Linked DNA regions of Sus scrofa. The protein of the gene in region 2 interacts with the protein of the main gene of each other region in a pairwise test. Links are inferred from orthologs where the notes say so. Each region holds a gene or a part of one and is shown on either strand. Other genes may lie near its edges. The genes, in order: HBQ1 and RFESD.

Region 1 (3,936 bases), on a different chromosome or scaffold from region 2:
TATGGGATCCAAGTTGCGTCTGCGACCTACACCACAGCTTATGGCGATGCTGGATCCTTAACCCACTGAGCGAGGCCAGGGATTGAACCCACAACCTCATGGTTCCTAGTTGATTCATTACTGCTGGGCCACGATGGGAACTCCTGTCTTTTTTTTAAACAAGCCAACTTGTAATTCAGTCTGAGGTCTTGAGTGCCTAACACTTTGCGGGTCCCTCTGCTGGCTTCCGTTCACGGTGCCTTGTTGCCCTGTGTGCCTGGTGAGTGTGTAGTTTGTAATGACAGACCTCTTTCTAGGGAGGGTTTCTTTGCTTCTTGAAGGTCCCTGGGGTCTGTGAGGGAGTCCAGGGTCATTTTCACACACGGTCTGCAGCCTGGGAGGTTTTGTCAGGAGGACCCCTCTGGTGACAGGATTACAAAGCCACACATGTCACATGTGATTTCAATTTATCAGGGAATTACCTTCCCTTTTCTGCTGAACATTAAGATTTTGGGGGGAAGTTCCCTTGGGGCACAGGGATTTAAGGATCTGGCTTTTTCACTGTAGTGGCTCGGGTTCGATCCCCAGCCCAGGAACTTCCACATGCTGTGGGTGTGGCCAAAATTTTTGTTTGTTTTTGCTTTTTGGGTTTTTTGTTTTCTGCGTCCCTGTGTCTGAGGAAAGGAGAGAATTGTCCAGGGGGTACCTTTTTAGGGCTCCAGGTTTATGGGGAAGAGTCACCTTTGGTCACTTCACTTTACACTAGCCCTTTTATTTATTTATTTTTATTATTATTATTTTTTCTTTTCTAGGGCTGCACCCGCGGCATATGGAGGTTCCCAGGCTAGGGGTGGAATTGAAGCTGTAGCTGCTGGCCTCCACCACAGCCACAGCCACATCAGATCTGAATGGCGTCTGCGACCTACACCACAGCGCCTGGCAATGTCAGATCCTTAACCCACTGAGTGAGGCCAGGGATCGAACCCGCAACCTCGTGGTTCCTAGTCAGATTCGTTTTCTGCTGTGCCACGACGGGAACTCCTGGTGGTTCTGTTTTATCATTAGTTATTGCTGTTCTTCTCTTGCCATCCTAATTTATACATTAAATTTACCATAGGTGTGTATGTATAGCAAAAAACTATATTGGGGGTTTGGTGCTTTCTGGGGCATCCACCGGGGTCTTGGGACATACCCCCAGGGGTGGTGGGGGTCAGCTGTTGCACCTGCGCCCCCTGAGGGCACCCCCACGCCCTGCATCTGTTTCCCCACTGTTGGGCAGGGAGGAAGAGGCTGGGCCAGACTCGCTAGATACACAGGCAGGTGCAGCGAGTGGAATCGTTTTCAGAGGTTTCTGCGATGGCCATGATTGATTTTTTTTGAGGAGCTCTGAGGTCTGACTCCTGAGAAGAATGTGGCACGTGGGCGGGAGGGGCTCTGGGCTGACTCCCTCATCCACCTTGTGGGCCGCATGGCTTTGTGCTGGAGCAGGAGCCGCCTCCTTTCAGCAGATCCAATCTGGCAGAGCGGCCTTTCCCCAAGTCCGCAGCAGTGTTGACGTGGCGGGTGCAGGGTCCAGAGGCGCTGTGTGGGGTCGTGCGTGTTGCCGCCCTGGGCAGTTCCGGTCCTCGCCGGCGGGGGCGCTGGTCCCCGCTTCTCGCCCAGCCTGTGAGCTGGACCCGCGCTCGGGTCTGGGTGGACCTGAGGCGTGCACGCCGCGCCCGCGAGAGGTCCAGCCGCGGGCAAGCCCTTGACCCCTACCCGCCACCCCTTCCCGAGCGACCGGAGCCCCGGGTCTGCGCCTCCGCGTGGCCCTGGCGAGGGGCCCGGTGAGTCGGGGTTTACCGCGGGGAACTGGGCGGCGGCGAGGGGTGTGAGCGGGCCGGGGGTGGGGGCGTCCGCGCCGGGAGCTGACAACGGGGGGTGGAGAGAACATGCGCACACCTGAGGCTTTGACCACAGACTTTACTCCAACCCTGGAGCCCCCGCACGCCCCCCCGCCCCGATTTAGCGACAGTGGGGGGCCAGCGCTGAGGTCACGTGGCTCAGAAACTTGTCCAGCGAGGCCTGCAGGCCGGGGCTGAAGTCTCCGGGGTAGTGCCGGGCGAGGGTCACCAGCAGGCAGTGGCCCAGCAGCTGCGGAGAGGGAGGCGTTCCCGCGCGGGTGCGGCGCCCCTTACCCGACGGCGGCCCTTCCGCCCACCCCCCGACCGGCCTCGGGCCCGGCCGCGCGCTCACCTTGAAGTTGACGGGGTCCACGCGCAGTCGCTGCGTGTGCAGCTCCCGCAGAGCCGACAGGGCGCGGGGCAGGTCGTCCAGGCGGTCCACGGCGACAGTCAGCGCGTCGGCCACCTTCCGGCCGTGCGCCTTGACCTGGGCGGAGCCGGGGTTCAAGTCCAGGTGGAGGAAGTAGATTTTGGTGGAAGGGAAGGCCGCGAAGGTCCTGCGGAGGCAGCGGCGGGTGAGGCGCAGCCTGGGGCCGGGGGCCGAAGGCAGCTGTGCCGGGAGGCGGGGGCCGTGCGCACCTCTCCAGGGCCTCGGTCGTGTAGACGCCGACGTTGCCATCCAGCTTCTTCCACAGGGCGCGCACCGCAGCCCGGTCGGCCGCCGCCAGCACCATGGTGGAGCCCGCGCGACGCGCGCTCGGCCCGCCGGTGGAGCCGCAGCTGCGCCTGCGCCAATCGGCGGGCGGTCTCCGCGGCCTCCGGGGGGCGTCGCGCGGGGCTTCGCAGAATCGGGCTCGGCTCGACTCGGAGGGGCTCGGGAGCGCGCCGTCGGGTGTCCGCTGGGACCTGAGGCCTTCCTTCCCCGAGGCCCCGATCTTTGAAGTGTTTCCTGTATGGAAGCTAATGTTTAGTACGCATCATTGTTCATTGGCAGCTCTGAGTTCTAGCACGGGTTTTGTCTTTGAACGTCTGCCTCCCCTGCCCGTCTGCTGTGACCCCTTTCTGAGTCTGTTTTCTCATTCACTGGGTGTGGTGAAGGCAGCAATTTCTTCTTCCCAAGGCTGTGCGGGATTCATAGAAGAAGCCCCTTTCCGGACAATGAGCATTTATTGAGTGCCTGGAGTCTGTCCCCAAATAATAGCTAATACCGATGCAGCACTGTTGTTTTTTTGTTTTTGTTTTTGTCTTTTTTTCTTTTTAGGGCTGCTCCCGCAGCATATGGAGGTTCCCAGGCTAGGGGTCTCATCGGAGCTATAGCTGCTGGCCTACACCACAGCCGCAGCAACACCGGATCCTTAATTCACTGAGCGAGGCCAGGGATTGAACCCGCAACCTCATGGTTCCTTGTCAGATTCATTTCTGATGCGCTAAGATGGGAACTCCTTTTCTTTTCTTTTTTTTTTTTTAACTACTTTTATCGTTTATTTTCCTTTTTTTGGCAGCCCCATGGCATATGGAGTTCCTGGGCCAGGGATCAGATCCGAGCAGTTGGAACCTAAGCTGTAATTGCCTCAACGTCAGATCCTTACTAAACCCACTGTGCCGAGCCAGGAATCGAACCTGTGCCCCAGCCCTCCCAAGATGCTGAGGATCCTGTTGAGCCACAGCGGGAATGCCACAGCACCCATTCTGTGCCAGGAATCACTATACCCCTTTCTTTTAAAAACTGTGTTGAAATTCATACAGCATCAAATTTACCCTTCGCCATTTTCAGGTGCACAACTCAGCATCTCTAATCTCGTTCACGGGTGTCAGGCAGCCATTAGTGCTAGCTAGTTCCAGAACGTTTTCATCATCCAAATGGAAACTCTGAACCCCCGAGCAGTTACCTGTAACCCCTGCTTCCAGCTCGGCTCTCTGTCTCCGCGGATTTGCCCATTCTGGATGTTTCGCATGAATAGAATTGTGCCGAATGTGGTCTTGTGTCTGGCTTCTTTCACTTAGCACATCTTGGAGGCTTAACCACATGCCAGCATGTATTGGTATTTCATTGCTTTTTATGGCTGGATAGCAT
Region 2 (3,822 bases):
GCAAGTAGAACCAGGTTGAAAAACAGGCTTCTCTCAGGAGTTCCTGTTGTGGCTCAGTGCTAACGAACCCAAATAGTATCCAGGAGGACGCAGGTTCAATCCCTGACCTTGCTCAGTGGATTAAGGATCCGGCATTGCCGTGAGCTCTGGTGTAGGTCTCAAATGCAGCTCTGATCCTGCATTGCTGTGGCTGTGGCATAGGTTGGCAGCTGCAGCTCTGAATCTACCCCTAACCTGGGAACTTCCATATGCTACAGGCACAGTCCTAAAAAGAAAATAAAACAAAACACACATACACACACACACACACAAAACAACTGCAAAAAGCACAAACATAACGCCCCCCCAGACTTCTCTCTTTTCCTCTCATTTATAAATTATTTAGTATAAGGCAGAACCTAATCTTAGTAGTCATCAAGTCCCTTCTGCAGTTGATGAGAGACCCTGTGTGTTAAAGCTCTATCACAAGATAAGTAGCTCAGGCAACTATACCATGTGGACTGCAAGCTGTGTTGTTATCTGTTAGATATTACTGTCACTTCCTTGACAGAAAGGGGGCAAGGGCTACAAGTGCTTCTAAATGAGTTTTCACTGGCTGATGGAAGAATAGTAAGCTTTCATATATAATTTCAATAGAGGTTACTAAAGGCATAAATGCATATGTTAACTGAAGACCAATTTATGGTCCAAAGTGGTTAATTCCCAACTTTTAAATGGTCTTAAAGCAGTGTTCCTAAAATTGTAAACAGCATGACAACCACTTGAACCTTGTTTAAATGTAACTCTTGTTCGATAAGCCTAGAGCAGGGTACAAGATTCTGCAGTTCTAGGACACTCCCAGGTGTTACCAGTGTTGCTGGTCTATGGACCGTACTTTGAGTAGCAAGGCTTTATAGCTTTCGTCATGGTCTGAAACTGAGGGAAATTCTGCTACATTATCATTCAGGTGCTTATATTTTATCTCTACACCAGAAATGCAGAAATGCTGTTCTGTACCTGCACAGAACTGTCATCAATCAACATTTTCACAGTTCATAAATTCATATTCATAATTTAAACACATCTTTTCACATTAGGGCAGGTGTGGAACTAGGTTGATATGAAATATAGAAAGTGGAATGATAAGTATAAGCATGTACTGTATACCAGTCAGAGAGATGGGGGGTGGTTGCAGAGAGAGATCAGTTTCATGAAGTTGAAAATAGGAAATTAGGCAGCTAGTTTGGGAATGCAAGGAAGTAAGACAGTTCCCCCATTCCTTCCTCAGTTAAGCCTTCAAAGTGCTATTTCTTTCTTAAAATATATTCATTTATATTTTATTACTTAAAGAAGTAATATATGTGCACTGCAAAAATCAAACCATGGGGAAGTATATGAAATGAAAAGTGAATATTTTTATTTTAAAAAAGAGATCTCATTAGACCTATAATTCTACAACTTGCTTTTTTCACCCAAAAATATATTGTTACCATCCCATACCAACACATATAGGTCTGCCTCATTAATTTAATGGCTATATAGTATTCCATAGCATAGATATTCATAATTTAAACTGTTTCCTATTGTTAAAACATAGCTTGCCTTCAGTTTTTCATTACAATAAATAATGTAACAATGGAGTTCCCGTTGTGGCTCAGCGGGTTAAGAACCCAACACAGTGTCCATGAGGATGCAAGTTCGATCCCTAGCCTCAGAGTGCATTAAGGATCCAGCATGGCGCAAGCTGTGGCAGAGGTCACAGATGTGGCTCAGATCGCAGGTCGCTCTGGCTGTGGCATAGGCCTATAGTTGTGGAAGTTCCTAGCCCAGGAACTTCCATGTGTCATGGGTGTGGCTATAAAAATTAAATTTAAAAAATATTGCTACAATGAATCTCATATATATGTGTATATATTTATGAGTGTATACACACACACACAAACACACACACTTGAACATTTGGCAATAATATGTAAAGTAGATCTCAGTGTATTTGCTAGATCAGAAGACATACCCATTTCTCATATTTGTAAAATGGTTTTCTTTACATTGTAGGGTTATGAATTCCTAGAATATCAGCAGTTATATTCAAAGCATTAAAATATAATTCAAACCCAAATATAAATTATTTTTGAACAGAGAATGTAAATATAGTAAGAATATAAATAGGAAACATCTGAGTTTGTTGAGAATCGATTTAAGTTTGCATACCTCTATGTCTCCCAAATGTAAAGGTCCTCCTGAGTCTGCAAAGGAATTGAATATTACATCTAATCACTAAAAAAAAAAAAATCAAATTTTGATAGTTTTGTGGATAGTAAACAAGTACAAGGTTTACAAATGAAAAATAAAATCTTACGGTAACAGCGAATATCCATAGCATGATATTCTCCTTTGTGGTAGAAAATGACCACTTCTCTATCATGAACAATAGCTGTCATTCTTTCAGATTTTTTAATGTCTTCTTCTCTGCCAACACAGACAGCAGAAGATTTCTTCATTTCAGGATCTTCTTCAGAGGCATCAATATCCATGCTAGTTGAACAAAAACAAAAATCCACAAATGGTCTTCACTAGTTTGGCTACACTCAACTTACAGAGATAATCATAAGAGAAGTCTAATGGAGGCAGTTTTTTGTAGCTATATAAAATAAATACTAGGGAGTTCCCGTCGTGGTGCAGTGGTTAACTAGGAACCATGAGGTTGTGGGTTCGATCCCTGCCCTTGCTCAGTGGGTTAATGATCTGGCGTTGCTGTGAGCTGTGGTGTAGGTCGCAGACGTGGCTTGGATCCTGCGTTGCTGTGGCTCTGGTGTAGGCCAGTGGCTACAGCTCCGATTAGACCCCTAGCCTGGTAACCTCCCATATGCCGCTGGAGCGGCCCAAGAAATGGCAAATAAATAAATAAATAATACATACATACATACTGGATTATAGTTAGTCATGATTTTGAGTTAGAGCTGTTGAGCTTACCAAAATGAGAGTGGACTCCCCCACTTTAAGGTGGCTGGACTCAGTTGATTCAGTTCATTGCATAAGATATTTCAGAACTCCTTAGATACTGAAGTATCACTATTCTTTTATTCCCTATCAAATTCAATGCTAAACAACATCTGTATATTGTCAATGTTGTATTTGGCTTTTGTTGAAGAGAGATGACTTCGATAGTCTGAATAGCCTTGTACCTCTTCATTGAGGTAGCTCACTTGGTTATACCTACTGAGGACAGCCAGTTCTTACAGATCAAACAGGTAACTGTATTCTAGTAGCAGGGGTAAGTGTGAGTGGACATCTTTCATTTTCTTAACAAAGATAGAAAACATCATTACTTTCTTCGGTCTTATTTCAGCATTCAAGAAGATGACGTCAATTTATAGACATATATAAATTTTAGAGAATGTGCAGGTATTCTAAATATATTTTTTTCTCAGCACAGATATTCAGCCTGCTTCTTTGAAAGTAACCCTTTCAAAGATACCTGCTGTATACTTCAAGTACATAGTTATAGGCTGTTAATTCCATATGAGAAAGAAACAGCAAGATACATCATTGTCATGGGTGTTAGGCCTTATGTAGAGGGTTTTCCTGAGGGCCTCACATATGGGGCTATTTCAGTTTTTATTTTCTATGATACTTTTCTGAATAAAAGCATATAACTTGTTTTGTCAAGAATTTCTATATTTATTCTTTCTCCACTTCTAATCCTTAAACTATCATTCCTACCTTCTTTTCATTAGCGTTGCTATCCCAAGATTTCTGGAAATATTCCTGCTTTTCCTCCCTATCTCAGGATAGAGATTGTAGTGGTTATAAGTTTCAAAAAGTGTAAAGAACCATGTGTAA

Evidence for each region.
Region 1: the proteins of RFESD (region 2) and HBQ1 interact in binary tests that used the Homo sapiens proteins (3 or more experiments, as listed by UniProt). The two-hybrid records come from large-scale screens. The link is inferred for Sus scrofa from reciprocal best matches to the Homo sapiens genes RFESD and HBQ1.

What each region holds. Positions count from the first base shown.
Region 1 is NC_010445.4:41,477,494-41,481,429, forward strand, and holds HBQ1 (hemoglobin subunit theta-1), read right to left. Parts: upstream 2,660-3,936; 5' UTR 2,597-2,659; coding exon 2,502-2,596; intron 2,420-2,501; coding exon 2,215-2,419; intron 2,113-2,214; coding exon 1,984-2,112; 3' UTR 789-1,983; downstream 1-788.
Region 2 is NC_010444.4:102,250,090-102,253,911, reverse strand, and holds part of RFESD (Rieske domain-containing protein), read right to left. Parts: intron 2,515-3,822; 5' UTR 2,514-2,514; coding exon 2,339-2,513; intron 2,226-2,338; coding exon 2,191-2,225; intron 1-2,190.